Lonchura striata: one gene and its partners. The protein of the gene in region 1 purifies or fractionates together with the protein of each later gene. This does not show direct contact. Links are inferred from orthologs where the notes say so. Each region holds a gene or a part of one and is shown in the gene's direction. Other genes may lie near its edges.

What was found.
Region 2: the proteins of CBX1 (region 1) and ADNP2 purify together in Homo sapiens (affinity purification with mass spectrometry; 5 studies listed by BioGRID and IntAct, with this or other methods). This does not show direct contact. The link is inferred for Lonchura striata from reciprocal best matches to the Homo sapiens genes CBX1 and ADNP2.
Region 3: the proteins of CBX1 (region 1) and SUV39H1 purify together in Homo sapiens (affinity purification with mass spectrometry; 3 studies listed by BioGRID and IntAct, with this or other methods). This does not show direct contact. The link is inferred for Lonchura striata from reciprocal best matches to the Homo sapiens genes CBX1 and SUV39H1.
Region 4: the proteins of CBX1 (region 1) and CHAMP1 purify together in Homo sapiens (affinity purification with mass spectrometry; 6 studies listed by BioGRID and IntAct, with this or other methods). This does not show direct contact. The link is inferred for Lonchura striata from reciprocal best matches to the Homo sapiens genes CBX1 and CHAMP1.

What each region holds. Positions count from the first base shown.
Region 1 is NC_134627.1:8,317,205-8,324,192, forward strand, and holds the start of CBX1 (chromobox protein homolog 1), read left to right. Parts: upstream 1-3,966; 5' UTR 3,967-4,067; intron 4,068-6,988. UniProt on the Homo sapiens protein: Component of heterochromatin. Recognizes and binds histone H3 tails methylated at 'Lys-9', leading to epigenetic repression. Interaction with lamin B receptor (LBR) can contribute to the association of the heterochromatin with the inner nuclear membrane.
Region 2 is NC_134603.1:84,601,166-84,608,400, reverse strand, and holds the start of ADNP2 (activity-dependent neuroprotector homeobox protein 2), read left to right. Parts: upstream 1-4,213; 5' UTR 4,214-5,830; coding exon 5,831-6,061; intron 6,062-7,235. UniProt on the Homo sapiens protein: May be involved in transcriptional regulation. May play a role in neuronal function; perhaps involved in protection of brain tissues from oxidative stress. May be involved in erythroid differentiation.
Region 3 is NC_134638.1:1,546,656-1,553,797, reverse strand, and holds the start of SUV39H1 (histone-lysine N-methyltransferase SUV39H1), read left to right. Parts: upstream 1-4,136; coding exon 4,137-4,346; intron 4,347-4,410; coding exon 4,411-4,528; intron 4,529-5,039; coding exon 5,040-5,185; intron 5,186-6,949; coding exon 6,950-7,142. Other genes in the region: actin nucleation-promoting factor WAS, read left to right, coding at 307-349, 1,442-1,611, 2,527-2,629, 3,686-3,788, 3,885-3,937. UniProt on the Homo sapiens protein: Histone methyltransferase that specifically trimethylates 'Lys-9' of histone H3 using monomethylated H3 'Lys-9' as substrate. Also weakly methylates histone H1 (in vitro).
Region 4 is NC_134604.1:90,839,331-90,846,206, reverse strand, and holds the start of CHAMP1 (chromosome alignment-maintaining phosphoprotein 1), read left to right. Parts: upstream 1-3,871; 5' UTR 3,872-3,958; intron 3,959-6,876. UniProt on the Homo sapiens protein: Required for proper alignment of chromosomes at metaphase and their accurate segregation during mitosis. Involved in the maintenance of spindle microtubules attachment to the kinetochore during sister chromatid biorientation.

The sequences.
Region 1 (6,988 bases):
GGAATCCCGCAGCCCTTACACGGAGCCTGGGAAATCTGTGGGATTTTGGCCCCGGGCGATCCCAGATCCCGGATTTGGGGCGGAATCCCGCAGCCCTTACACGGAGCCGGCGTTGCGCTGGAGCTGCCGCCGCAGCCACACGAACTCGCGGTAGCGGCGCCGCACGCACGACGTCTTGGCGGTGAAGGCCTTGCTGTTGGTCTGGGAAAAACACCGGAATGGCAGCGGCCCCGGAGGGATCCCGGCGGGATCCGGGAGGGATCGCTGGGAATGACCATGGGAGGGATCATGGGGAAGGAACCCGGGCACGGATCACTGGGAGAAATCCCTGGGCATGACACTGGGAGAGATCCCTGGGTATGATTCCTGGGAATAACCCTGGGAGGGATAACTGGGATTGATCCAAGGAGGGATCAGGGGAGGGGTTACTGGGAGAAATCCCTGGGAATGACCCTGGAAAGGATCACTGGGAGAAATTCTGGAAGAGATCCCTAGGAATGACACTGGGAGGGATCTGGGGAGGGATCACTGGGAGAAATCCCTGGGAGAGATCCCTGGGAATTATTCCTGGGAATGATCCTGGGAGGGAAACCTGGGAGGGATCCCTGGGAATGACCCTGGGAGGGATTCCCTGGAGGGAATCACTGGGAATTGAGGGCTGAGGGATCCAGGGTTGGAATCATCCCTGGGATCAAGGGGTTGGATCTGCCTGGACAGAGGATCCAGGCTGGGAATTCTCCATGGGAATTATCTCTGGGATTGAGGGGCTGGATCTGGCCTGGACAGAGGATCCAGGCTGGAAATTCTCCATGGGAATTATCCCTGGGATCAGGGGGCTGGATCTGGCCTGGACAGAGAATCCAGCATGGGAATTCTCCATGGGAATTATCCCTGGGATCGAGGGGCTGGATCTCCATCCCTGCCGGATCCGGGAGCCAGCCCAGGACAGGATCCCGAGGATTCCCCTCCGTGGCTCGGGACATTCCCAGGGCTGATCCCGCTCCCAGCTCACGTGCAGGAAGATCTTGTAATCCACGTAGGAATTCCAGGAGCCCTCGTTCTGCACACGCGGATCCTGCACCCGCACCGTGGTCAGCTCCTGCGGAAACCGGGATGGGATCAGGGATCCACCAGCCCTGCTTCCCAGGAATGGGATCAGGGATCCACCAGCCCTGCTTCCCTGGAACGGGATCAGGGATCCACCAGCCCTGCTTCCCTGGAACGGGATCAGGGATCCACCAGCCCTGCTTCCCTGGAACGGGATCAGGGATCCACCAGCCCTGCTTCCCTGGAACGGGATCAGGGATCCACCAGCCCTGCTTCCCAGGAATGGGATCAGGGATCCACCAGCCCTGCTTCCCAGGAATGGGATCAGGGATCCACCAGCCCTGCTTCCCTGGAACGGGATCAGGGATCCACCAGCCCTGCTTCCCTGGAATGGGATCAGGGATCCACCCCATTCCCGCTGTCCTGGAATGGGATCAGGAGCTCAGGGATCCACCCCATTCCTGCCTCTCCAGCTTCCTGGGAATGGGTCTGAGGGGCTCCAGACATTCCCATTCCCACTTTTCCAGACATTCCCATTTCCCATTCCCCATTCCCGCATTTCCAGGCATTCCCATTTCCCATCCCTGCATTTCCAGCCATTTCCAGTCCCACTTTTCCAGCCATTCCCATTCATTGCCACTCCCATCTGGTCCTGGGCCCAGCCCCACAGACTCCCAGGAATTATCCACGGAGATGGAATTCCCAAGGATTCCACTCGCCCCAATTCCAGGATTTGGGAATAAACCAGGAATGCTCCTCACTTCCTCTCGGTTCTCCAACATCCTAGAGCCAGAGCCCAGCGGGAAACATCTGGGAATAAAGACAAAAAAGAGATTCAGAGAAATCCTTTCAGTGGGTTTTCCACGGATTCTGCATCCCCCACAATTCTGGGACACTGTAGTTTTTGGGAAGACTGGAAATCTCTGGAATTTGGGAAAAGCTTCACTTTAAGGTGCTCTAGGATTCCCAGTCTGGGGTTATTTCCCTCAAATTCGGGGTTTTCCAAGGCTCTGCTGCCTCTCACCTGCCTGGGATTGGGGATCAAGGAGAGAATTCCAGAGAAATTCCTCATTTCCAGGGAAATTGCTGCCAGGGAAAGCATTAATTGTTATCTCAGGCTCCTTTTATCCTGGTCCACCTCCGAAAACCTTTCCTAACACTCTGGAACAGCAGGAATCCTCACTCCCACCCACGGAAAACCCTCCAGAGCCAGAAAAACAGGAATGAATCCCAGTTATTCCCGATTTTCCCTGTGGAGGGTGAATTCCTGAGGCTGTTCATAAACACCATTCAATCCCTATTTTCCTTGGACACGGTAAAACATTGGAAGTGGTTATTATTTTTTTTTTTTTCCCAATAATTATTTTTCAGGATCTTTTTCCTCCCAGGGAAGGAAAGGATTCCTCATTCTCCCTCCCGGGGATGTCCCGCACCACGACGGGTCCCAAAACCTCGGGAAAAGCCGGAAAAACGGGAACGAATCCCAATTATTCCCTTCCCACGCCGGCTGGGAGAATTCCCGAGGCTGTTTCGCCTTTCCAGGGAAGGAGAAAATTCCCGGGAACCGCGGCCCCAGCCCAGGGCCGGGAGAGGCTCGGGAGAGTCCCAAAAATCCAGGGAAAACCGGGAATGAACCCCATTCCTTCCTTCCCCACGCCGCGGGGGGAATTCCCGGGGCTGTTTTTTGGGAATTCTCGGCACAGGGATCGGAGCTGGGCCCGAGCCCCGCGCCGGGAGAGGCCGCGGAGCGGGGCTGAGGCCCGGCCCGGCCCCGCAAATCCTCCCGGGGGTTTGGGGACGCCGGGAGACCCCGAGGGGAGCCGGGATCCGCCGGGACCCGCCGGGATGCACCGAGGGGACCGGGGATCCCCGAGATCTCCGGACCTGCGCCCTCCCCTCAGGCGCCCCTCACCTCGCACCGCCCGCGGACCGTTTGAGCGGCGCCGCCGGCGGCGCGCGCTTTTATAGCGCGGAGGTGGCGGAAGTTCCGGTGCGGGGCATGCTGGGAGGTGTAGTCCGAACGCCGGTGTTGTCCCAGGTGCCGCCCCCCGCCCCGGCCCTTGGATGAGGAGGGGACATGGAGGGGCTGGGAATGTTTATCCTGGAGAAAAGAGGGAGCAGGAGGGACCTTCTGGCTCTTCACGACTCCCTGATAGGCGGGGCAGCCGTGGGGGTCAGGCTCTGCTTCCTGAGGAAAGGGTGCGGCCTGAGGTTGGGCATCAGCAGGAATTTTTCCCCGGAAATGGGAACACAACGCTGGCACAGCTGCCCGGGGCGGTGCTGGAGTCCCCATCCCCAAAAACACGAGGAGGTGGCACTTAAGAGACACGGGTCAGGGGTGTCATGGCAGTGCTGGGGGAAGGGTTGGATTTGGCGATCTTAGATCCTAGGGTTGGACTTGGAGATCTTAGAGGGCTTTTCCAGCCTGAGCGATTCCAAGATTCCCTAAATAAGATTATTTATGGAACCCATAAACGGGACCCTTCCCTGGGCGCTGGCACAGGCTGGGCACAGCCGACTGGACGTGGCGCTCGGGGCCCTGATCTGTGGGACAAGGCGCTTTTGGGTCACGGCTGGAGCTTGAAGGCTTTCCCACCGTTAATTACTCTGTTTAATTAACAACGCGCAGAACGGAGAGGCCTGACCATCCCGGACTACACCTCCCACCCCGCCTCGCGCGCACGCAGCGCCGCCGCGCTCCGCGGACTACACCTCCCATCACGCCCCGCGCCGCCCGGCGGAACGCACTGCGGCTCGGCGGCGGCGCGGACTACACCTCCCATCAGGCCCCGCGCCGCCCGGCGGAACGCACTGCGGCTCGGCGGCGGCGCGGACTACACGTCCCGGCGCGCCCCGCGCGGGCGCGGCGCAGGCGCGGTGCGCGCGGCGGGCAGCGGCGCTGGCCGGGCTCTTTTGTTCAGGGCGGCGGACGGAGCGCGGCCAGGCCCGGGCCCCCCCCCGACCCCCGAGCGCGCCCCCCGCGCCCCTTCCCTCGGACACCGGCGGCGGGGCTGTGCGAGGTCAGCGCGGAGCCGGCTCCGAGCGCCGGCGGGGGGCGGCGGGGGGGTGGGGGTGAGGGGGGGCAGGGGGGTGAGGGGGGGCGGGGCGGCCGTGGGGGGAGGGGAGGGGGTGTGGGGGGGCTGGGGGGCGGGGATGGGGTCAGTGAGGGGGTTTGGGGTGATGAGGGGGGGTTTGGGGCTGGGGTCAGTGTAGGGACGGATTGGGGGCTGATGAGGATGGGGATGGGGTCCGTGAGGGGATTTGGGCATGGTGTCAGTGTAGGGATCGATTTGGGGGTGCTGAGGGGAGGATTTGGGGCTGGGGTCAGTGTAGGGATCGATTTGTGGGTGCTGAGGGGAGGATTTGGGGCTGGGGTCAGTGTAGGGACGGATTTTGGGGTGATGAGGGGATTTGGGATAGGGTCAGTGTAGAGAGGGATTTGAGGAGGGGATTTGGGAGGATAGAGAGGGGATTTGGGGCTGGGGTCAGTGTAGGGATGGATTTGGGAGGATGGAGAGAGGATTTGGGGCTGGGGTCAATGTAGGGATGGATTTGGGATGTTGGAGACAGGATTTGGGGCTGGGGTCAGTGTAGGGATGGATTTCGCAGGATGGAGAGGGGATTTGGGGCTGGGGTCAGTGTAGGGATGGATTTTGGAGTGCTTAGAAGGGGATTTGGGATGGGGTCAGTGTAGGGATGGATTTGGGAGGATGGAGAGGGGATTTGGGGCTGGGGTCAGTGTAGGGATGGATTTTGGAGTGCTTAGAAGGGGATTTGGGATGGGGTCAGTGTAGGGATGGGTTTGGGAGGATGGAGAGGGGATTTGGGGCTGGGGTCAGTGTAGGGATGGATTTGGGAGGATGGAGAGGGGATTTGGGGCTGGGGTCAGTGTAGGGATGGATTTTGGGGTGCTTAGAAGGGGATTTGGGATGGGGTCAGTGTAGGGATGGATTTGGGAGGATGGAGAGGGGATTTGGGGCTGGGGTCAGTGTAGGGATGGATTTGGGGGTGCTTAGAAGGGGATTTGGGATGGGGTCAGTGTAGGGATGGGTTTGAGGGAGGGGATTTAGGGTAATGAGAGGATTTGGGATGGGGTCACTGTAGGAATGGATTTGGGGCTGGGGTCAGTGTAGAGAGGGATTCTGGAGTGATGGGGTCAGTAAAGGGATGGATTTTGGGGTGATGGGGTCAGTGTAGGGACGGATTTTGGGGTGATAAGGAGAGGATTTGGGATAGGTTCAGTGTAGAGGTGGATTTGAGGAGGGGATTTGGGATGATAAGGAGGGGATTTGGGGCTGGGGTCAGAGTAGGGATGGATTTGGGAGGATGGAGAGAGGATTTGGGGCTGGGGTCAGTGTAGGGATGGATTTTGGGGTGCAGGGCGGGGTCAGTGATGGGTTTTGGGATGGGGTCAGTGCAGGGGTGGATTTGGGGTGGTGGGAAAGGGGGATCAGTGGGATGGGATGTGTGAAATGTTGGGATGCCGGTGGGGCTGTGACCCCAAAAAGAGCTGCACGGGGGAAAGGGGAGTTTTGGGGTTCAGGAGTTTTGGGGTTCAAGAGTTTTGGGGTGAGGCAGATCCCATGGAGAGAGAGACGTTGGGAAAATGGGAAGTTGTGGGGTGAAAATGTTGTGGTTTTTTTTTTGGTTTTTTTTTTTTTTTTTTTTTTTTTTTGGTTGGTTGGGGGTTTTTTTGGGAAAAAAGGGTAATTTGTGAGGGGGGAAAACGGGATTTTGGGGGCAAGAAAAAGGGATTTTGTGAGGGGAAAAATGGGACTTGGGGGGAGGGAAGAAAGAGGGATTTTAGTGGGGGGAAAAGTGGGATTTGAGGGGACAGAGAAGAGGGGGATTTGTGAGGAGAAAAAAATGGGATTTTGAGGGCAAAAAATTGGGATTTGTGGAGGAAAAGGGGTTTGTGAGAGAAAAACTGGGATTTGTGAGGGAAAAAACCTGCAATTTATGAGGGGAAAACGGATTTGTGGAGGAAAAGGGAATTGTGAGGGAAGGAAGTGGTATTTGTGAGGGGAAAACCCAGGAATTGTGAGGGAAAAGTGGGATTTATGAGGAGAAAAAGTGGGATTTGTGAGCGGGAAAAAAAGGGAATTGTGAGGGGGAAAGTAGGATTTGTGAGGGTCAAAAGTGGGAATTGTGAGGGGAAAACCTGGGAATTGTGAGGGAAAAGTGGGATTTATGAGGAGGAAAAGTGGGATTTATGAGGGAAAATTAGATTTGTGAAAGGAAAAAGTGGGATTTGTGAGGGGAAAAGTTAGATTTGTAAGAGGAAAAAGTGGGATTTGTGAAGGGAAGAGTTGGATTTGTGAGAGGAAAAAGGGGAATTGTGAGGGGAAAAAGGGATTTTGGGGACGGGGCTTTCAAACCCCCTTGGGATGAGGGGAAGGAAAAGCGGGAATCGGGCAGGGCGCGGGATGGGGAGGGACAAGCGACAACTTTTGGCGGGAAGCAGGAAAAATCCCGGGAATCCGGGCTTGGGAGGGAAATTCGGGAATTTGGGGCGGGGCTGGGGTCAGGAATGGAGGAGGAGCTGTTTTGGGGGAACTTTGCTGGGATTTTGGGAGCTGGGCGAGACAAAGCTCTGGGAATTTTGGGTGCTGGAAAAACGTTTTGTGAGTCCCAGAGGGATTTGGGGGTCTGGAGAAAGAGCTGGGAAAGCTTTTCCCAGGAAAAACTGGCTTTGGAGCCGGGGTTATCCCGGGAATCTTCCCTGTGGTCCTGTGGGGAAGTTTTTGGGGGGAGAAAAGGGGATTTTGGAGGCGAGAAAAAGGGAATTCTCTGAGGAATGCGGATGGGGGGGATGCCAGGGATGTGTTCCCATAAAACTGAGGGATCCCGGGATAAAAATAGGGATTCTGGAGGGATAACTCTGGAATTTGCTGTGAAAAAAGCTGGAAAGAATAGGGAAAAGAATAGGGATAAATCCCAG
Region 2 (7,235 bases), on another chromosome or scaffold:
AAGATGACCTTTTTAATAGGTATGTGATTTATAGCCATTAAAAGAGCAGAATTATTGTGACTCTTAAAAGATCTATGATCTGAAATGCCCTGAAGTTTCTTATATAGCTGGACAAAAAAGAGTTAATTTTTTTTCTTACCTGAGATTTCTATTAAGTTGCCCTTGGATAGAAATTTGAATATAAGAAGATAAACTGCTTTGTTGACCAGAACTGCTCTTTGTAAGTTTTATTAGAATATATTTTAAATTACAGCAGATTAAACAATGAAGAAGAATAGCATCCATTCTAATCAATCGAATTTTTCTTTAGGAAGCTTTCTTCCCTCTCCCTCCATAGGTTGGATAAGCTTTGATGGTGCTGATGTACTTGTAAATCCGGTTAGGTGGCTTTCAGAAGGCAGAGGTAAGAGTCCAGGAAATGTTATGCATGGTTGAGCAGATACCCAGATGTGACTTCTTAGAGGACATGTAAGCTTATCAGAAACAGAACAAAATTGATGAGGGTAAAATTTGGCATGGCCAAACTCTGATTCTTCTAGGCAGTTTCTTAGTGAGCCTGTCCTCCTAGCCGTTCTTTACCATCCAGTGTTCTTGTTCCTTGGATTCTTGAAAATAAATCACATGCTTTCATTCCACTTTTAGGAATGAAGCAGTTTTTATTGTTTTCTGAACTAATACTGAATTGTCAGCTTCTGATGAGTTTACTATAATGAAAATAATTTGTGGGCACCCTGGGAGGCATTCCCTGGGTTGGGGAGACACAGGAGGCTTCCCTCAGGGGCTTTTGGGACCTCATTAGCTCCTTCCCCTGTTACTATGTCCCTCAGCCACTCCCTCACTATTCCCCTATTTGCCAATCATCCTTGTACTGCCCGAGGGCACAGTTCAGCCCGGACCTCGGGGGACAGGGAGAAACCAGGATTCCCCTCATGAGTGTGCCTTGGACCCTGAACATCTCACCATGTGGCTGAATAAATCTGTGGATACCATGCAAAGGCCCTTTTTGCATCCTTACCCTGGATCTTATTAACAATATTCTGGCTGCAGCACATAACTTTTTATTGGTTCTTGTCAGTTCTGACAACTGCTGAAATACAAGTTGGTAAACAAGCCTTCCAAAATACTCCAACCCAAATGTTCCGAACATGTTTTTATAGAGGTTCTATAAAAGGTGCAAACCTTTTAAAAAGACCTAAGTCTTTATAAAAAGCTTTCTCAGTTACTATATAAAAGTTACAAAAACTTAAAAATTATTCCATTTCCAAGGCGGGTACTATGAAGTGACAAAGTTCCATAAGTCTTTCATAATTTCCCTGATCAAAGCAGTTATTTGAGCAACAGGCAAAGGCCATCCAATTAGGAACACATATGGAGATTTGCACCAGGGATTATCTGGTGTCTAAAATGCAGCTGTTTTCTCTGTAGATCTTCTAACATTCCTCTTTTTCTGAAAACTCGAGAAATGCCTGATTATCTAGTTGACTGGATTTTACTGGAAGTATTTGCATGCCCGTTTGAAGGCACGTATGTGCATCTTCCTTTTGCCAGCTCCATACCAACTTTGTTTTCATTTGCTTGCTGTTCTGGTTTGCAAGCAAAACCAGTGAGAGACTCCAAGTCAGAAATACAATTTATTGGGAAAAGGGAAAAAGACAAAAATACACACAATGTTACAAAAGGAAGACAACTGACAAAGCCAGAATACAACCTGACACCCCTCTGGCCAGCGTGCTGGTAGCAGTCCAAATTGGAGTGGCTGCAGTCCTCTTGGAATGGCAGATGTGGTTGCTGTGTCTTCTTGGAAACCTGTGGAAAGGCTGCCTCTCTGTCTAGAAATCCCTGGATTTATCCAGGTGGGAATGCCTAGCTCCTCCCCCTGGGTGGAGCATCTCACAATGGGCTGATGTTATTCTGAGTCATGAGGTGTGTGGCAACTCCTACTCGGATTATAATAGGAAACATCTTGGTCTTCAATTTGGACACTTGCAAATACCTACTTCCTGTAGGAACACAAACAAGAGTGGTGCAGATTTCATGTAAGGAATAAAGCTCTCAATATGAACACAGTCTGTCACTGGAGGAGGTTGCCCAGGGAGGTTGCCAAACCTGACTGGCCAAAACAGTGCCCTGGCTGCAATGGTTGAGCCTGCTTATAGGAAGCTGGACTGGGTGTCCTCTTGAGGTTCCTTCCAAGGTGAAATGAGAATGGTTCTGAGAAGTAGAATGAATAGGAACTTGGCATTTTGTGGTAACTTCTCACTTTGAAGAGGTGCAGTGTTAGTGTTTTTCCTTTTTTTTTTTTTTTTTTTTGTAATGTAGAGAAATGATAGTAAAAGGTAGTTAATTTGAAAACTGATGTCTTTGACTACCAAAATACTGTGCAGACCGTTACCTTGTCTTTTAGACTAGTCTTAAAATACTGCAGTACTGCTGGAAGGGAAGAGTTGCATTTGTGATCTTTGAAAAGTCAAATGTAATTAGTTGGGTGTTACAATTGGTGATAACAAATGTAGAAATGAAATGAACCTGGAATAAAGCTCCACTGGGTATATCATTATGGAGATGTTATCTGAACAAGCAACATGTGTAGAAATACCTTGACGGCTAAAATGCCTAAGCAAGAGTTGGATGGCTGTCTTAGAACTGAATTTGAGACATCAGCTGCTAAAATTATTTTATTTTGCTAAAAACTTGCCTTGGTTCTGTTTATGAAGTGGCACTAGTCTGAAAACTTAGTGGTTTATCAGGTTTTTGGAAACAACAATTAAAAGCAGTGAAGAATAAGTTTTTTACTTTTAGACAGGCAATGCAGTAAAATGATCGAGACTCTTGGTAACCCTTGTTCAATTAAACTCTAGTCCTTTGTTGAATTTGCTGATTAAGAATGGAATGTGGAACAAATTGTTGTGCATTGTTCCATGCAACAAATGCATGGAACCAAAGTGCAAACTAAAGCTTAAGGAATGTCCAAAATATAAGAAAAAAAAATATTAGTATGAAAATGTGGATAATAAACTGCATAACAGTCAAGGAATTAAACTGAGGACTTGAGGGAGTAAGTTTAGGAGGTTGATATTTGGTGACCTTTATGGTGGGGCAGTGCTGGTCTAATGGATAGAGAGACTCCAAGAGGGTAGATTTAGGTTGGATATTAGGAAGAAATTCTTAACTTTGAAGTTGGTGAGGCACTGGCAAAGGTTTTCTAGAGCAGTTGTGGATGCCCCATCCCTGGAAATATTCAAGGCCAGGTTGGATGGGACTTTGAGCAACCTGGTTTAGTGGGAGATGTCCCTGCCCATGGGAGTAAGTCTGAAATTAGATGATCTTTAAGATCCATTCTAACCCATACTGTTCTGTGATTGTGGTGCAAGATCCTTTAAGATCCTTACTCCCAAGAAGGTTGTTTAAATACCTACTGAATAACATTGCATGTGATTGCACATGATGGCCTTTGGATTGAAGACCAACTCTTTGAAAACTGGAAAATAATTTATATTCAAGTTTTTTTCTGCTATGGTGGAGGTTTTGGTGTGTTTTTCTTTCACCTGGATTAATAATTTAAGGATAATTAATAATTTTATTTAATTTTTTCTTTTGCATTAATAATTTCAGAATGATTACTGGTTAAGAGAACTTTGAGGTACATGAATGTTGCATACTACACCCCTATAGACAGTTTCTTATTTGTGAGCTAGACATGCCTCAACAAATGCCCACTTCACCTTCTTTAGTAGCATCGGTGTATGAGTTGGAAGACTGAGATGGGGAAGCTGTTTCCAGTGGAACCTAATGTATTTCCTTCCAGCTAATCACCACTGGGCATGGTGGTGTCCAGACAGCTCTGTTGTTAAACTGCGCTGGACTGTGGGGTTGATGTGAATAACTTGCTGTCATAGAGGGACTGATCTTAAAGCTTTAACTAGGGACTCTGCAAATTCCTGGTGGACTTCACTTTAAAAAGAATATTTTATGTCAGATTTTTGCTCATTGTATTTTGAGAGATTGTCAGACCATTTACTCTGATTTATTCCATTCTGTATAGGTTCCTGTTCTACATCTACCCTGATGGTATCAGAATGTCTTCTGGACTTCTTGATGATAAAAAACATTAGAAAACAAGACTAGCATCTGTCAAATGGGGTTCCCTCTCCATTTCTCTCTCCACACCTTTCCTTTCAAGGGAGAAGAAGCAAAGAATAGTATGTGAGTTGTATGAATTTTAATCATAAACCCATCAGTTGTATGTTTTGTACATATATTAAGGTTTGGGGTGATTACATACAGAACAGAATATTTTTTATATGGTTTGTGGGTTTTGAGGATTTTGGTTTTGAGGCTTAGCTTGTAGCTGGTGTCTTATGTGCAAGGGGATTTTGCAACTATTTGCATGAAAGTCATCATTCAAAGTAGAGCTTTCATGTTGGCAGGGAGTTTGCTTTTTTGGTAAAGTACAGTTTTTCAAGACATTTGAGACTGTATGTGCTAAAGAACTGTTTGGAGAATTCCTCTGTTTCAGTATTTGTTCTTTTTCCTGTACAAATGTGTCCTGGATGGGTGAATTGTTTAGCAGTAAGGACTAAGATGTTATAAATGTTCCTGGATACTCTGTCAGCTATTTAAGCATCAAATACTGGAGAAGCTTCCAGTGACCTTTTTCAGTGCAGGCTTAGGGTTAGGTTTTGTGTTCATTGTAGTTTCTTAAAGCTCAATCTAAATTGCATCTTGCTGTAATATAGGAAGGAGTTGACAAAGGCTGAGCTTTAACTTCTAAAGCTGAGCCTATGGAGATACCTTACAAGTTTACAAAAGTAGAAGCTTCTGCAGGAAATCTAGATTTTACTAGCAATCATATTTTAAGCATGTACATGCTTGACAGCAAAGAAAAATATCAGAGACTTCTCATCTTGATGCTAGGATTTAAGGTGAAAGGTGTGGAATTTCTTATATTATAGTAATTTTCTGAATAGAACTTAATAAAACTCTGGTGTTCATATTCTTTTGCAAAAACCCTACAAAACCAGTGTTCCTGCCACGTAGATACAAGGAGATTTGAAAGAAATATTTGGAATTTTCTGTAGATAGAGGAAATACAAAGAATTCCTGCCCGCCCCTCCTCCCCATTAGATTCTGTTTCCTTTAAAATCAGTCAGGGGTTCTACTTGGGAAATGCTAATGAGCCCACTTCTTTGGCTTAAGGATTTTGGGTTTTCATACTTAATAAATGGCATCCTGGCCCATGTCAGCAAGAGCATGTCCAGCAGGACTGGGGCAGTGATCAACCCTGTACTAGGCACAGTGAGGCCTTACTTCAAGTGCTGTGTCCAGTTCTGTGCCCCTCAGGAAAGACATTGAGGACCTGGAGTGAGTTCAGAGAAGGACAGTGAAGCTGGGGAGAGGTCTGGAGCACAAGTCCAATGAGAAGTGGCTGAGGCAGCTGGGGGTGTTTAGCTTGGAGAAAAGGAGGTTAAGGGGAGATCTTACCATTATACAACTGCCTGAAAGGGGGTGTAGCTAGGTTGGGGTGGGTCTGTTCCCCCAAATAGCAAGTTACAGTAAAAGAGCAAGTTGCACCAGGGAAGGTTTAAATTGGATATTAGGAAAAACTTCTTCTGAAAAAGGGTTGCCAAGCACTGGAATGGGCTGGCAAGGGAGGTAGTTCAGTCCCCATTCCTGGGGGTATTTAGAAGACACATAGGTGTAGTGATGAGAGGCATGGGTAATGATTGAGGTGGGTTAATGTTTGAACTCAGTGATCTTAGCGGTCTTTTCTAACGGAAATATTTCTGTTCTATGACTTTTCAGATTTTAGTTCTTATTTTAATACACTTAAATGCAATTGCCTGTGTTCAAGTATTTAGTCCCTTTTTTCATTCTCTTTCATTTTTCCTCTTTTTTTTCTTCTTCTTTATTTTTTGGTTGTGATGTTGTTTTTTTTCCCCAGGAAAAGTGCAAAATGTTTCAAATTCCTGTTCAAAACCTTGATAATGTAAGGAAGGCTCGAAAAAAGGTAAAGGACATTCTTGTGGATCTTGGGCTTGACAGCTGCAGGGAATTGTTGAAGGTAAAGTATTTGAAAGAATGTAAACTAATCTGAAATGTAAAATCCTGACAAATATCTGTCATAGATGGTGCCACATATTCTGTTAGTAATGTTTCCACAAAAAGAAACAGTACAGCTTTAGGGAAAAATACCGTAGACTGATGAATTGTTATTTGTGTGCTATGCCGCAACTCTTCAATTCTTTTGAGATTTCAGGCAGATAGGGATGAGTCTCCTCAAAGACATCCCGTCCCACATATGAAAGGCAAGCTTCTGAAGGGACATACAAATCATCTGCGTTTCTGAAAATTGATAAGTCTTCAAACTTTGTGTCTGGTGAAAAATACCAAAATTATCTTACTGAGTTGTAGTTTGGTTCTGTATTTTAAAAAGTATATGCAGGTGTACTGGGGTGATTAAGATAACTCTTGTACCACTGTTGCCACTTCGAGGAGAAAATTTTGTGCATTGGTCAGGAAGAATGCACACCATCAGACTGGCAAACGTAATACCAGAAAAGGTGCAAACACAGCAATGTAACTCCATTTCTTAAAAATAGTGTATTTCAGTGAGCTGGTGCAGAGGCTTTTGTGGCTGTTGAGTACATGCATACCTTCGCATTGACAGGAGGTTCATTGCATCTGTATGGCAGTACTAAAGTAGGTTTAACACTCTATAAGGGTGCTGTTTTGTATTTTGTGATGGTTTCTTTATGATACTCTGTAAGTAATTGGAAGAAAAATGTTCAAGACTACATGCATAACTGATTTTGGAACAGTCTTTGTTATTGCGGTTGTACAGTTTTGTATATATTTAAACATTGTAACAGCTCAAGGAAAATCATAATGTCTACTAATTTCCATTTACTTGCTGTTTTTATTTTGTTACTATTCTATAATCACAGTTCTAACTCAGAAGCTGAGTCTGTCTTGACTATTGGAAGCAGGAATGTTTTGATGGTGACAGGTTTTTACTATGAAATTGCTTGTGGTCTCTTTGTTGCATGGACTTCAATGGTAAATAAGTAATAAATTGGTTTGTATTTAATTGAGTTTTTGGCGGTATGTATAATACACATTTAGTTGGTTTTGCTTCATTTTTAAGTGAAAAATGGTGGTGGGAAACCCAGCAAGCATTTGTAGAAAAACCTCTATGACATTTGTGCCAAAAAATACCATATTTTGGTTTTTTTGCA
Region 3 (7,142 bases), on another chromosome or scaffold:
TGGGGGTCGGTTTGGGGGATGTGGGGGTCGGTTTGGGGGGTGTGGGGGTCGGTTTGGGGGATGTGGGGGTCGGTTTGGGGGATGTGGGGGTCGGTTTGGGGGGTGTGGGGGTCGGTTTGGGGGATGTGGGGGTCGGTTTGGGGGGTGTGGGGGTCGATTTGGGGGATGTGGGGGTCGGTTTGGGGGGTGTGGGGGTCGGTTTGGGGCCATCTCTTGGGAGGTTTTGGGGGGTCTCCAGGGGGATTTTGGGGTCTGGGGGGTTCCGGGGGGTCGCGGGGGTCTCACCGCTCTCCCCTCCCCCTCCAGGCACGTCGGTCACATCGGGTGGGACCCCACTGGTGGCTTCGATGTGGGTGACACCTCCCCCAAGTGGGTGACAGTGACCCCGGGGTGACCCCACGGGGGGTGACAGATGTCCCTGCCCAGGTGGCATCCCTGGGCCTGGCCCGGGGTCCCCATGGGGTGACCCTGGGGTGACAGCGACCCTGTGAGGGGTGACAGTGACCCGAGGGGTGACAGCGATCCCGTGCAGGGTGACAGTGACCCTGAGGGGTGACAGCGATCCCGTGTGGGGTGACAGTGACCTGAGGGGTGACAGTAACCCAAGGGGTGACAGTGACCCTGGGGGTGACAGTGACCCGAGGGGTGACAGTGACCCTGTGTGGGGTGACACTGACCCTGTGGGGTGACACTGACCCTGGTGACAGTGACCCTGAGGGGTGACAGGGACCCGAGGGGTGACAGCGATCCCGTGCAGGGTGACAGTGACCCGAGGGGTGACACTGACCCTGGTGACAGTGACCCGAGGGGTGACACTGACCCTGTGTGGGGTGACACTCACCCTGTGTGGGGTGACACTGACCCTGTGGGGTGACAGTGACCCTGAGGGGTGACAACGATCCCGTGCAGGGTGACAGTGACCCGAGGGATGACACTGACCCTGTGGGGTGTGACACTGACCCCGCGGGGTGACACTGACCCCGCGGGGTGTGACACTGACCCCGCGGGGTGACACTGACCCTGTGTAGGGTGACAGTGACCCAAGGGGTGTGACACTGACCCCGTGGGGTGTGACAGTGACCCCGCGGGGTGTGACACTGACCCCGCGGGGTGTGACACTGACCCCGCGGGGTGTGACTCTGACCCCGCGGGGTGTCCCTGTCCCCTCACCGTGTCCCTGTCCCCAGCTGGCCGCCCTGGACCCCGCCCTGCGGTCCCTCTTGTTCCATGGGGTGACACTGACCCTGTGGGGTGACACTGACCCCGTGGGGTGACACTGACCCCGTGGGGTGACACTGACCCCGTGGGGTGACACTGACCCTGTGTGGGCTGTCAGTGACCCTGAGGGGTGAGAGTGACCCGAGGGGTGACACTGACCCTGTGTAGGGTGACACTGACCCCGCGGGGTGTCCCTGTCCCCTCACCGTGTCCCTGTCCCCAGCTGGCCGCCATGGACCCCGCCCTGCGGTCCCTCTTCGCCCAGGCCGGGGTCAGCGAGCGCCACTTGGCCGACGCCGAGACCTCGCGCCTGATCCACGACTTCATCGAGCGCCGGGGCGGGCTGCAGGCCGTGCGCGAGGAGATGCGGCGCCAGGGTGGGCACGGGGCGCCTGGGGCACCTGGGCACACCTGGGCACACCTGGGCACACCTGGGAGGGACCTGGGCACACCTGGGAGGGACCTGGGGACAGCTGGGAGCACCTGGGCACAGCTGGGCACACCTGGGAGGGACCTGGGCACACCTGGGCACACCTGGGAGGGACCTGGGGACAGCTGGGAGCACCTGGGCACACCTGGGAGGGACCTGGGCACATCTGGGCACACCTGGGCACACCTGGGAGGGACCTGGGCACATCTGGGCACACCTGGGCACACCTGGGAGGGACCTGGGGACAGCTGGGAGAAACCTAGAGACACCTGGGGGGCACCTGGGCACACCTGGGAGGGACCTGGGGGCTCCTGGGGACAGCTGGGAGCACCTGGGCACACCTGGGAGCACCTGGGAGGGACCTGGGCACACCTGGGGGTTCCTGGGCACACCTGGGGGCACCTGGGAGGGACCTGGGCACACCTGGGGGTTCCTGGGCACACCTGGGGGCACCTGGGAGGGACCTGGGAAACCTAGAGACACCTGGGCACACCTGGGGGTACCTGGGACACACCTGGGGGTGGGACTAGGCACACCTGGGCACACCTGGGAGGGACCTGGGCACACCTGGGTACAACTGGGGGGCACCTGGGGATACCTGGGGGTACCTGGGACACACCTGGGGGTACCTGGGCACACCTGGGGGTACCTGGGCACACCTGGGCACACCTGGGGGTACCTGGGCACACCTGGGCACAACTGGGGGGCACCTGGGGATACCTGGGCACACCTGGGGATACCTGGGCACACCTGGGCACACCTGGGGGTACCTGGGACACACCTGGGGGTGGGGCCGGGCACACCTGGGAGGGACCTGGGCACACCTGGGCACACCTGGGGGCACCCGGCGGGTCTCTGTGCCCCCCCGTGCCCCCTCTGACCCCTCCCCCTCCTCTCTCTCCTCCCCCAGGACCGCCCCCTCCCCCCCCGGGCCGCGGGAGCCCCGCCCCTCCCCCCGCCCCTCCCCCCCCTCCTCCCGCTCCCGCTCGGCGGTCCCGGCCCCTCCCCCACCCCGCGCCGGCCCCGCCCCTCCCCCCGCCCCTCCCCCTCCGCGAGGCCCCGCCCCTCCCCCGCGAGGCCCCGCCCCCCCGGGCGCCGCCGCCCCGCCCCCTCCCCCCCTCCGCCGCCCCCTCCCCCCTCCGGGGTCCCCCCCGCGACCCCCCCCGGCCGGGGGGCGCTGCTGGACCAGATCCGCCAGGGGGTGACGCTCAACAAGGTCGGGGACCCCAAAAACGGGGAGGGGGAGACCGAAAATGGGGAGGGGGCACCAAAAATGGGGAGGGGGCACCAAAACTGGGGAGGGGGACACCGAAAATGGGGAGGGGGCACCAAAAATGGGGAGGGGGACACCGAAAATGGGGAGGGGGAGACTGAAAATGGGGGGGGGAGACCGAAAATGGGGAGGGGGCACCAAAAACGGGGAGGGGGAGACCGAAAATGGGGAGGGGGCACCAAAAATGGGGAGGGGGCACCAAAAAATGGGGAGGGGGAGACCGAAATTGGGGAGGGGGCACCAAAAATGGGGAGGGGGACACCGAAAATGGGGAGGGGGCACCAAAAATGGGGAGGGGGCACCAAAAAATGGGGAGGGGGAGACCGAAAATGGGGAGGGGGCACCAAAAATGGGGAGGGGGCACCAAAAATGGGGAGGGGGAGACCGAAAATGGGGAGGGGGAGCTCAAAAATGGGGATGGAGACCCCAAAAATGGAAGGGGGACACCAAAAAATAGGGAGGGGGACACCAAAAATTGGGATGGGGACCCCAAAAACGGGTGGGGTGGAGCCAAAAATGGGAGTGGGACCCCAAGAATGGGAGGAGACCCCAAAAATTGGGGGGGGGTGTCCAAGGGGGGGGTCCTGTGACCTTTGGGGGTCTCCATGGGATGGGGGAGGGGCTGTTCCATGCCCCTTTTTTTTGGGTGGGTGGTCTCGTGATTTCTTGGGGGGCTCCCCTGACCTTTTGACGTGGCCGTGGGGGAGGGGCTGGTGGGGGAGGACCCTGCCTGACCCCTCCCCATTTCCCACCCCCCCCCCCAGACCCCTGAGACCCCCGAGGTGGGCGCGGGTCCCGGCGCGGGGGGGCTCGTGGGGGCCCTGATGGACGTGATGCAGAAGCGAAGCCGCGTCATCCATTCCTCGGGTGAGACCCCTCCCCAAATTAAAACAAAACAACCCCAAAACCCCCAAAATCCCCCCAAAAAAACCCCCCGACCCCTCTCCATTGTCGCCCCCCCAGATGAAGGCACAGCCAGCGAGGAGGAGGAGGATGATGATGAATGGGACGAGTGAGACCCCCCCTGCCCCTCCCCCTCCCTCGAGACGCCCCCAGACCCAAATTGGGGCCCCCCCCACCCCTCCCCCACCCCGCCTGCGCCCCTCCCCCAGCTCGGGGGGGGAGGGGCCCCGGCTTTTCCTGCCCCCCCTCCCCTTTTTTCCCCCCCTCGTGCCCCCCCCCCCCCCCCCAAATAAACGCAGGAGTCACGTGACCATGCGCCTCGTTAATGAATCGCTCATTAATTACCGTTTAATGAGCCCCGGCAGCGAGGAGAGGGAGCGGGAATCCAGCGGCTCGGGGAGGGGCCCCGAGGGGATCCCGGCGCTTCCAGCGGCTCCGAGCCGGGAAAACCGCGCGGAAAATGGGGGAAAAACGGCGGAATTCGGGATCGGCGCCGTGCGCGGGCGCTGCTGGGAGCGATATGTAAATGAGGCAGCGCCGCGGCCAATGGAAACCGGTCCCTTCGCACCAGTATGTAAACGAACAGTCGCGGGTGCTGCTGGGAGCGCTATGCAAATCAATCGACGCGGCGGCCAATGGCGGGATCAGATATTATGCAAATAAAGCGGCGCGGTGGCCAATAGAGAAGGGGCGCGACGGTGTCGGTATGGAAATTAATCACCGCATCAGCCAATGGAAGGCGCGCGGGCTGCTGTCACTATGCAAATCAGCAGCCGGGCCAGCCAATGGGCGCTGGGCGCGGGCAGAGGAAGCCCCGCCCCCCGCGCTGCCCGCCGGGCGGAAGCGGCGCCAGAAAGAAAAAAAAAAAAAAAAAAAAAAGGCGGAAAACGACAAAAAAAAAAGCGGCGGCGGCTGAAAATGGCGGAAAATTTAAAAGGTGGCGAGAGCGGGGCGGGCCCGGGGGGTCTCCGGGGCTGCGGGAGGGGGAGAACCGGGCCGGGGGCGCTCTGAGGGGCCGGCGGCGCTGCCCGCGCGCGGCCGTTGGCGCCTGAGGGAAGCGGGGGGAAGTGGCGGGAACGGGCGGGAGAGGCTCGGCTCGGCTCGGCTCGGCTCGGCTCGGCTCGGCTCGGCTCGGCTCGGCTCGGCTGGCTCGGCTCGGCTCGGCTCGATGGTGCCGCCCGTCCCCTGACGCTGTCGCCCCGGTGCCGCCCGCAGAGTGCTCCGTGTGCTGCCTGTCGCCCTGGCCGCGGCTGCAGGAGCTGTGCCGGCTGCAGCGCGTGCGGTGCCGCGCCCTGGGGGTCACCCGCCGCAACCTCGCCGAGTTCGAGGTGGAGACGATCTGCGACTACCGGCGAGTGCGGGTGAGGGGCGCGGGACCCCCGGACGGGACCCCCGAGCTGGGAACCGACACGGGACCCCCGAGCTGGGAACCGACCCGGGACCCCCGAACCGGGACCCCGAACGGGGAACCGACCCGGGACCCCCGAACCGGGACCCCGAACGGGGAACCGACCCGGGAGCCCCGGACGGGACCCCCGAGCTGGGAACCGACCCGGGACCCCCGGACGGGACCCCCGAACCGGGACCCCGAGCTGGGAACCGACCCGGGATCCCTGGACGGGACCCCCGAGCTGGGAACCGACCCGGGACCCCCGGACGGGACCCCCGAACCGGGACCCCGAGCGGGGAACCGACCCGGGACCCCGAGCGGGGAACCAACCCGGGACCCCCGGACGGGACCCCCGAACCGGGACCTCCGGACGGGGAACCGACCCGGGAGCCCCGAACCGGGACCCCCAAATCGGGATCCCTACAGACACTGGGACCCCCAAACTGGGAGCTGACCCGGGACCCCCGAACCAGCACCCCCAAACTGGGAGCTGACCCGGGACCCCCGAACCAGCACCCCCAAACTGGGAGCTGACCCGGGACCCCCGAACCGGCACCCCAAACTGGGAGCTGACCCGGGACCCCCGAACCGGGACCCCCAAACTGGGAGCTGACCCGGGACCCCCAAATCAGCACCCCAAACTGGGAGCTGACCCGGGACCCCCGAACCGGGACCCCCACAGACACTGGGAACAGAGCGGGGACCCCTACACGGGACCCCCAAACCGGGATTCCACCCCACAAAGACCAGGAATCCAGCCAGGCCCCCAAACTGGGACCCCCAAACCCAGAATTGGCCCAGGACCCCCACACTGGGCACTGCCAGACCCCCTGGGGGCAAACGGGGACCCCCTGGTGACCCCAAAACCCCCCTGGCCTCGTGAGCCCCCACAGGGACGTCGGGGTCTCCTTTAAGGTCCCCAGGCTTCGACACCCCAAGAATCTCTGACCCAGTTCGGCCCCACAGGGTCTCTGGACATTGGGGTCACTCCAGGAACCCCCAGACCCAAAAAAGCTCCACAGGGTCCCTGGGGTCACTCCAGGAACCCCCAGACCCAAAAAAGCCCCACAGGGTCCCTGGGCATTGGGGTCACTCCAGGAACCCCCAGACCCAAAAAAGCCCCACAGGGTCCCTGGGCATTGGGGTCACTCCAAGAACCCCCAGACCCAAAAAAGCTCCACAGGGTCCCTGGGGTCACTCCAGGAACCCCCAGCCCCAAAAAAGCCCCACAGGGTCCCTGGACATTGGGGTCACTCCAGGAACCCCCAGCCCCAAAAAAGCCCCACAGGGTCTCTGGGCATTGGGGTCACTCCAGGAACCCCCAGACCCAAAAAAGCCCCAAAGGGTCCCTGGGGTCACTCCAGGAACCCCCAGCCCAAAAGAGCCCCACAGGGTCCCTGGGCATTGGTGTCACTCCAAGAAGCCCCAGCCCCAAAAAAGCCCCACAGGGTCTCTGGACATTGGGGTCACTCCAGGACCCCCTGAACCCTCTTAGACCCCCAAAGGACCCCCACAGTGGGGTCACCCCAGGAACCCCCAGACCTCGTGAGACCCTCAGAGTCCTCCAGATTCCCGCGTCCCTCCCGACCTCATGAGACCCCCCAGCGTCTCCAGACCTTGCGGTCACTCCAGGAACCCCCCAGACCTTTTGAGTCCCCACACCTGGGGGTCCCCACTGCCCACCCCCTACCCCAAACCCCCCTTTAACCCCGCCTTTATCCCCCCACCCACGCAGAACGAGGATTTCTACCTGGTCAAGTGGCGTGGTTACCCCTCGTCGGCCAACACCTGGGAGCCGCGCCGCAACCTGCGCTGCCGCGGGCTGCTGCAGCAGCTGCACGCCGACCTGGCCCGGGCGCCGGGCGGGCCGGTGCGGCCGGGCCGCCGCGGTCTGCCGGCGCGCGCCATGTTGTACTTGGAGAAGAAGA
Region 4 (6,876 bases), on another chromosome or scaffold:
GTTCTCAGGCATTCAGTCAAGAAAATCAGGATATCAAAGGAGAAATGGAAACATTTTCAGGGCTGAAAAGGCTCAGTCTTGTTTCCTTAACATTTAAAAACATCCTGAAATACAAAGATTAAAGTTGCTTATATATTGGGAACTTTAAAGTTCCTAAATCAGGGATCAAATAACAAGGAGGAAAACATTTGTGAATATGTTACATAAGGTAAAAATATAACCAGGGGTATTTAGATGTATCTCCAATGAATTGTGATCTCCCTAGCTACACTGTTAGGTAACATTCATTGCTGTATTTGTTACAGTTACTAATGCATAATAAGCAAAAGGCCATTTCAGAAAGTAATTTAGAAGCCTACGGGAAGGAATTGAATGAAAAAATAGCTGTCTTGGATGATTAAACTCCATGCCTTCAAAAGCCTGCTGGCATTTTTACTGAGAGATTTCACCAGTGGATATGGTAAATTTTTGCATGTTGCTTATTAAAAAAAAAAAATCTAGAACTGCAAATGATATTCAAGTGTTTTTCACAATAATATAACCGAAAGGGGGGAGACTTATGAAACTTTAGCATGATTTCATAAATCAAATTTAATCCCTAGATGTAAAGGAAAAAAAGTTCTAAACAAGTTAAAAAAAGAAAGTATAACCATACAGTAAAAAAAAAAGTCTATTTAAAAAAAGTTATTCACTGCAGTTAGTTGAGATGTGTTCTTTACCTATGCTCTGTAATTGATAATCCAGAAAAAAAAAAATCTCTGTGGGATTTCATAACCTCCTTTGAGAGAACTTCTTCACTAGGTTGAAAGGAAATCCTCCAAGTACTCCAAATCACTTACAGGTAACAATAGCATGGAAGAAGTTTACTTAGTCTGTCTAAGAAGAAACCTAATAAATGGGGTACACCAGGTTTATCTGAAATTTAATTAAGTGTTTGATTCCATTCTCAATGGAAATAATTAACTACAGTAGCTGGAAATTAATTTTAAAACTGTAAGATGAATGAAAGCACTGGCAAATCAGAAAGAGATGACAAGTTCAGGATCAAGTGAAAATTACAGGTTATTAGTTGGCCTTGGGTTGACTTTACAGCTATTTCCATGAATGAACAAAGCAGGAGTCAGCATTTTGAGTAATAAAAAGCAGATAAAATGCAAGTACAAGGGGATAAGTAGCAATAATATTCTTAGCTGCAGATTTGGATAGAGTCGACCAGTTGGGTTTTGTTAGTCATGGAAAACCACAATCCCCAATGATAAATGTATAACCTGTAGTTAAAGAGATATGAGCCTGGGACGTGACTACACAGAACACCTGGAGGGTATCTAGCCTGCAGTGCTAGATTTCTCCATGGCATCTAGATGTGGAAAAAATAAATAAATTCCTCATCAATCAGTAATTGTAGTTAATCACTACACTTCCACTACATTTTCAGAGCATGGGCAGGATTGATTTTGTTGGAAACTTAGATATGACTGGTGAAAAATCCTGCTTCTATCCAAGCAGCCGGGGGATGTAACAGATCACTGCTGAATGCTGCCTGTCACAGAGCCGCCCTCTTGGTAAGGAAATGCTGCCGAACCTACAGCCCAAACCTACAGCCCGAACCTTGCCTGAAGGAGCTCTGAGCCATCCCTACCTATCCTCTCAGTGGGTACCAAGGAGAAAAGCTTAGCATCTTTCCCTCTGCTTCTCTCCTCTAGAAGATGTAGAGAGCAATGAGGATGTGTGAGAGACGGAACTATTAAGAGACAATGACTCAAAACATTCTTCATTTGTGGAGATGCCAGGGTGCTTGGTTGACAGGGAGTAGGTGAACTTTTAGTTGTGTAATGGCTAAACCTCTGATCTGATAAGGCACAGGGTGAATGATGGGCTGAGAGTGAGATAAGCGCTGGATCCAGTGGAGAGAATTGTGCCCCTTGTCGTGCCAAGCTGTGCTTCCTTGCACAAACCACTGGGCTGTGGGGCTTGCCCTCCTCCCCCTGGAAATGCCAGGGAACTCAAGTGTGACCAGAGCAGGTTCATCTCTGCTGATGGGACATAATGGGGCAAACTGATTCAACTGCACCATGATCTACAGTATTACATGAAGCTCCCTGGTCCTGAGAAGGCACCTGATTTATATTTACTTGAACCAGAGTGAATATAAACCCAAGAGATTATGTGTTCCGCAGATTCATCCCCACCACTTCTTCGGGACTTCGTCCATCACCTGACCACCACTTTGACCACAATCGCTGGACAGTAATCAAGTCTTACTGTGAGGCTTAGGGTGGTGAGATCCTCACCTTTCCTTTCCTTTCCTTTCCTTTCCTTTCCTTTCCTTTCCTTTCCTTTCCTTTCCTTTCCTTTCCTTTCCTTTCCTTTCCTTTCCTTTCCTTTCCTTTCCTTTCCTTTCCTTTCCTTTCCTTTCCTTTCCTTTCCTTTCCTTTCCTTTCCTTTCCTTTCCTTTCCTTTCCTTTCCTTTCCTTTCCTTTCCTTTCCTTTCCTTTCCTTTCCTTTCCTTTCCTTTCCTTTCCTTTCCTTTCCTTTCCTTTCCTTTCCTTTCCTTTCCTTTCCTTTCCTTTCCTTTCCTTTCCTTTCCTTTCCTTTCCTTTCCTTTCCTTTCCTTTCCTTTCCTTTCCTTTCCTTTCCTTTCCTTTCCTTTCCTTTCCTTTCCTTTCCTCTTTCCTTCTTTCCTTTCCTTTTTCTTCTTTCCTTTGTCCTTTCTTTCTTTCCCCTTGTATGTGTCCTTGGGTGATGTTGCACTTTCACATTGCAATGCTTTCATGTTGTATTACTATAGATAATAACCACCCAAACAGCTCCATACCTGTTTTCCTTTGCAGCCAAGTTGTTCTATAATAAAACCTACATTGTTTATTTACAACTACTGATCATTCAGTATTGTTTCACACTAACGTCCCCCAAGGGATCTAGTAACAAGAACCTGGGTTATCCTCAGCTTCTGTCTTAACAAAATGCCCCTCAGCCTCCAGAGAGTGTTTCCTTAAACACCTCCGGGGAGTAACTGTCCCTGGAGATGTTTAAGGAAAAAATGGACAGGTTGACATGCGGGTGCTCATTCACAGGTTGGAGTTGATTTCAGAGGTCCAACTTAATTGGTTCTGTGATTCTGTAACTCTTTCATTCTTTCATTACAGACAAAATGCACAGCTAAACCCAAAAGACAAAAAGCAATTCCTGAATTGAGGTGTCTAGAACTGGACACACAGTTCCTGAGGTGTGGCCTATTTGGCTGTGCAGAGCCCACACCTAGAGCCCTGCACACATTTGGGGAAGGATGCTAATGGCAGATCCGGGGAAGAGCGATGGAGGTGTCCTGCAGGGAGCGGCTGAGGGAGCTGGGGCTGCTCAGCCTGGGGAAGAGGAGGCTCAGGGAGACCTTGCCACCACTGCAACACCTGAAAGGAGCTGCCGCAGGCTGGGGTCAGGCTCTTCTCACAGGCCACCAGCGACAGGATGAGAGAACACAGCCTTAAACGGCATCAAGGGATTTTTGGGCTGGATTTTAGGAAGAATTTCTGTACTCAGAGGGTGGCTGGTTTTTGGAATGGGCTGCCCAGCAAGGTGGTGGAGTCACCGTCCCTGGAGGCGTTTAAGGAAAACTGGACACGGCCCCGAGGGCCATGGCCCCGTTGACACGGTGGTGCTTGATCAAGTGGAGGACCTCGGAGGTGTTTTGCAGCCTTTTTGTGGCTTTGTGACTCGGTGTTTCTGCGGCTCTGGAACTCTCCCCGCGCCGGACGAGCCCCGCGGGCTCCCGGACGCGGCCGGGCCCCGTGCGCAGCGCCCCCTGCCGGCGGGCGCGGAGCGCGGCCCCGCCCCCGGCCCCGCCGCCGCCGCCGCGGCACGTGACCCGGCCCCGCCTCCCGCCGCCGCCGCCGCCGCCATTGGCGGGGGGAGCCCGGCCCGGCCCCCCCGGCCCGCGCCCGCCGTCCCGGAGTGCCGAACGGTGAGTGCCGCCGCCGCGTCCCGCTCGGCCCCGCTCCCGCCGCCCGGGCCCGCCGCGCTCCCCTCCCTCCCCCTGGGCGTCGGGCCTGGGCCTTCCCCTTGTCCAGCCCCCGCCGCGCGGGGGGCGGCGGCGGCTGGCGGTGCCGGCGCGGGGGGAACAAAACCGGTGGGGCCGCGCACGGGAGCGAAGAGGGAGAGCGGAGGCGGCGAGGGAGAGCGCCCGCCGCGGCGGCATGAACGGGCGGGCGGCGTGGCCCCGGCCCCGGGGGTGCGGCCCCGGGAGGGCCGGGCAGCGGGGAGCCGGGAAAGCCGAGCCCTCAGGCACCCCCTTCCCGCAGGAAAGTTAGAGTGATGCCGGCGGAGCGAGGAGCAGGAGGAGCACGCCGCCGGTCCGCTGTGCCGGGATAGCGAGTTCGGCACGGGACGTGTCCCCGCCGGGACCGGGCCCTTCCCCGGTGACAGAAATAGCTGCCGGGAGCGGCTGCGTCGCACGTGGGAGCAGAGGAGCAGGTGCAGAGCCAAGGCTCACGGCACTTCTGGAGACAGGTCCTGTGAGGAGCGGCTCAGGGAGCTGGGCTTGTCCCGCCTGGAGAGCAGGAGGCTCAGGAGGGACCTTAGCGCTCTGCAACCGCGAGAAAGGAGCGTGTAGCCAGGTGAGGGTCGGCCTCTCCTCCCAGGCAACAAGTGACAGGACGAGAGGACATAATCTTAAATTGCACCAACGGAGGTTTAGACTGGACATTAGGAAGAATTTCTTCACTGCGAAAGTGATTAGACATTGGAATGGACTGTCCAGAGTGGTGTTGGAGTCACTGTCCCTGAAGCTTTTTAAGGAAAGACTGGATGTGGCACTGAGTGCCATGGTCTACTTGACAAGGTGGTGTTCAGTCATAGGTTGGAGCTTGATGATCTCAGAGGTCTTTTCCAACCTAAACGATTCTATGAATTTTTTGCAAGTGAGGAATATAGAAACTTTGGATTTCACATTTCTCTTCTGTAATCTTCCCTTGAACTCCATATTCTTTCAGGGTAGTGTTAATGGAATTCTTAGCATGTTACTAAGTTTCACGACCCTAATTCAGATCTTGACTAGATTGTTATGCTCTAGTGGGTCTAGTGGCACTTCATTAGCTCAGGTACAGCACTGCGACAGTAATGTTTTTGGGGGCATTTTTGGAAGCCAACTGGAAGTGGAATTGTGAATTTGGAATTAGAAAGCTGTAGAAGCAGTACATGGAATTAATTTCTTCTGTCTTGAATCTGTCGAAGGTATACTGATTTTACTCTGCAATTTTGACTGTTGATAGATCTTCTATCAAGAGCTAATGTTGTGTAGACTTGTCATTCTCTTCACAAAGATTGAAATATTGCAAAATTGTTGCAGTTCTAGGTGGTTTGTTTTTCTTAAGTCATCTGTATGTGTATCAAGTATTGTCACTTTGTAGATCTCTCCTGACTTGAACCTTTCCTGGAAACATGGAACTTCATAATGCAGCATTTCCTTCCTGGAACTTGTGGCTCTCACGTTCTTAGCATTCCTTGCTGTTTCAGTGGCTGGTTGGGTCAGAGTGTTTGTGCCTTGTGTAGATGTGTAATTTTAAAGACCTTGTTCAGCAATTGTTGCTGGTGGAGCTTAGCCTGAGTAGATTGGCTGATAGCTGGGAGTTCAGATGTGAGGTTGTAGTCAGATACTGTGGATGCTTCTGGACTAGCAAGAGCACAGGGCTGCCTGTCTTGTTCATGGTGCCTTGGAAGTGATGCCCGTACCTGCCTAGTGCACTGTGAAGTGCCTGCTCTGCCCCACGGTGGGGTGTTTGTGTGCAGCTTCCTCTGGGAGCTAAACTTCTCTTTGTCAGTCACAATACAGGGATGTAGCTTCAAGAGAAGTGTCATGCTGCCACCAAACTGCCATTTACTTTTTGGCACTGCAAGAACATGTAATTTTTCCTTTTGCTTAAACCCAGCAAAAGTCTGGATCTGTTCCTGCTATCAGAGGCAATGATGATGCTGTATCTCACTTACCTCAGCTTTCTTTTTCTGAGAACAAATTTGCTGTTGACCCTCCTCACTGACAGAGGTTGTGACTGAGCTGTTAGTCTGCAAGAAACTTCCAAGGCTGATGAAAGCCAACAGTGATCCTTCCTGCGCAGTGACTGGTATAGGGAATCTTATGTGTGGTTGTAGCACATTGCAGAAAATCACAGGGCTTTCTTCTGGGTCATTTTCCCAGCTGTGTTGGTGTCATTAAAGCATGTTGCATGTTCTCTCTCTGCTTCTGTTTCACCAGGCTTCATTGAGAGGAAAGGGTTATATATTCTTCTGAGAGGAAAGAGTTATATATTCTTCTGCCCCTGAGAACCAAGACACAATGATGTAGCAGACTACTTGTTGCTGTGCTCTGAATTTCTTCATGTAATGTAGAAAGCAGTCTAATTCTCTGTGCTCACTGAGAGTCTAGATCTTTAGCTTTGAGCCCTTTGTTGCTTCCCTTGGACAGTCACAGCTTATCTTCAGTAAAGGAAAAATGCAGTATATAAAAAACTAGTATATATTAACTGTTGCAATTCTAAGTGTAGAATGTGTTTATTAAAAATTACCAGGAGTGATTGGAAGATTTGTAGCTGTGAAATTGGAATGGAGTTAAAATGTATAGACATCCTTGTTTGCTGCCAGAGTCATGTTGTACCAACACTTGCATGGATTCCTTCTTATGTATAGGTATCTCCTCTGCATTTTTCTGCTTCTCTTCCACTGGGACGTTTTTGAGAGGCTGTAGGAAGTATGGCTTAATCTTAACTGGGATCCTTGTGGAAGATGGGTGCAGAATCCAGGGACCATCTCTGACATGGCTGGATGTGTTGGCTGGGAGGACATCAGGAGGTCTCTCCTCTCTGTGCATTAGCTTGGGACACTCCTATT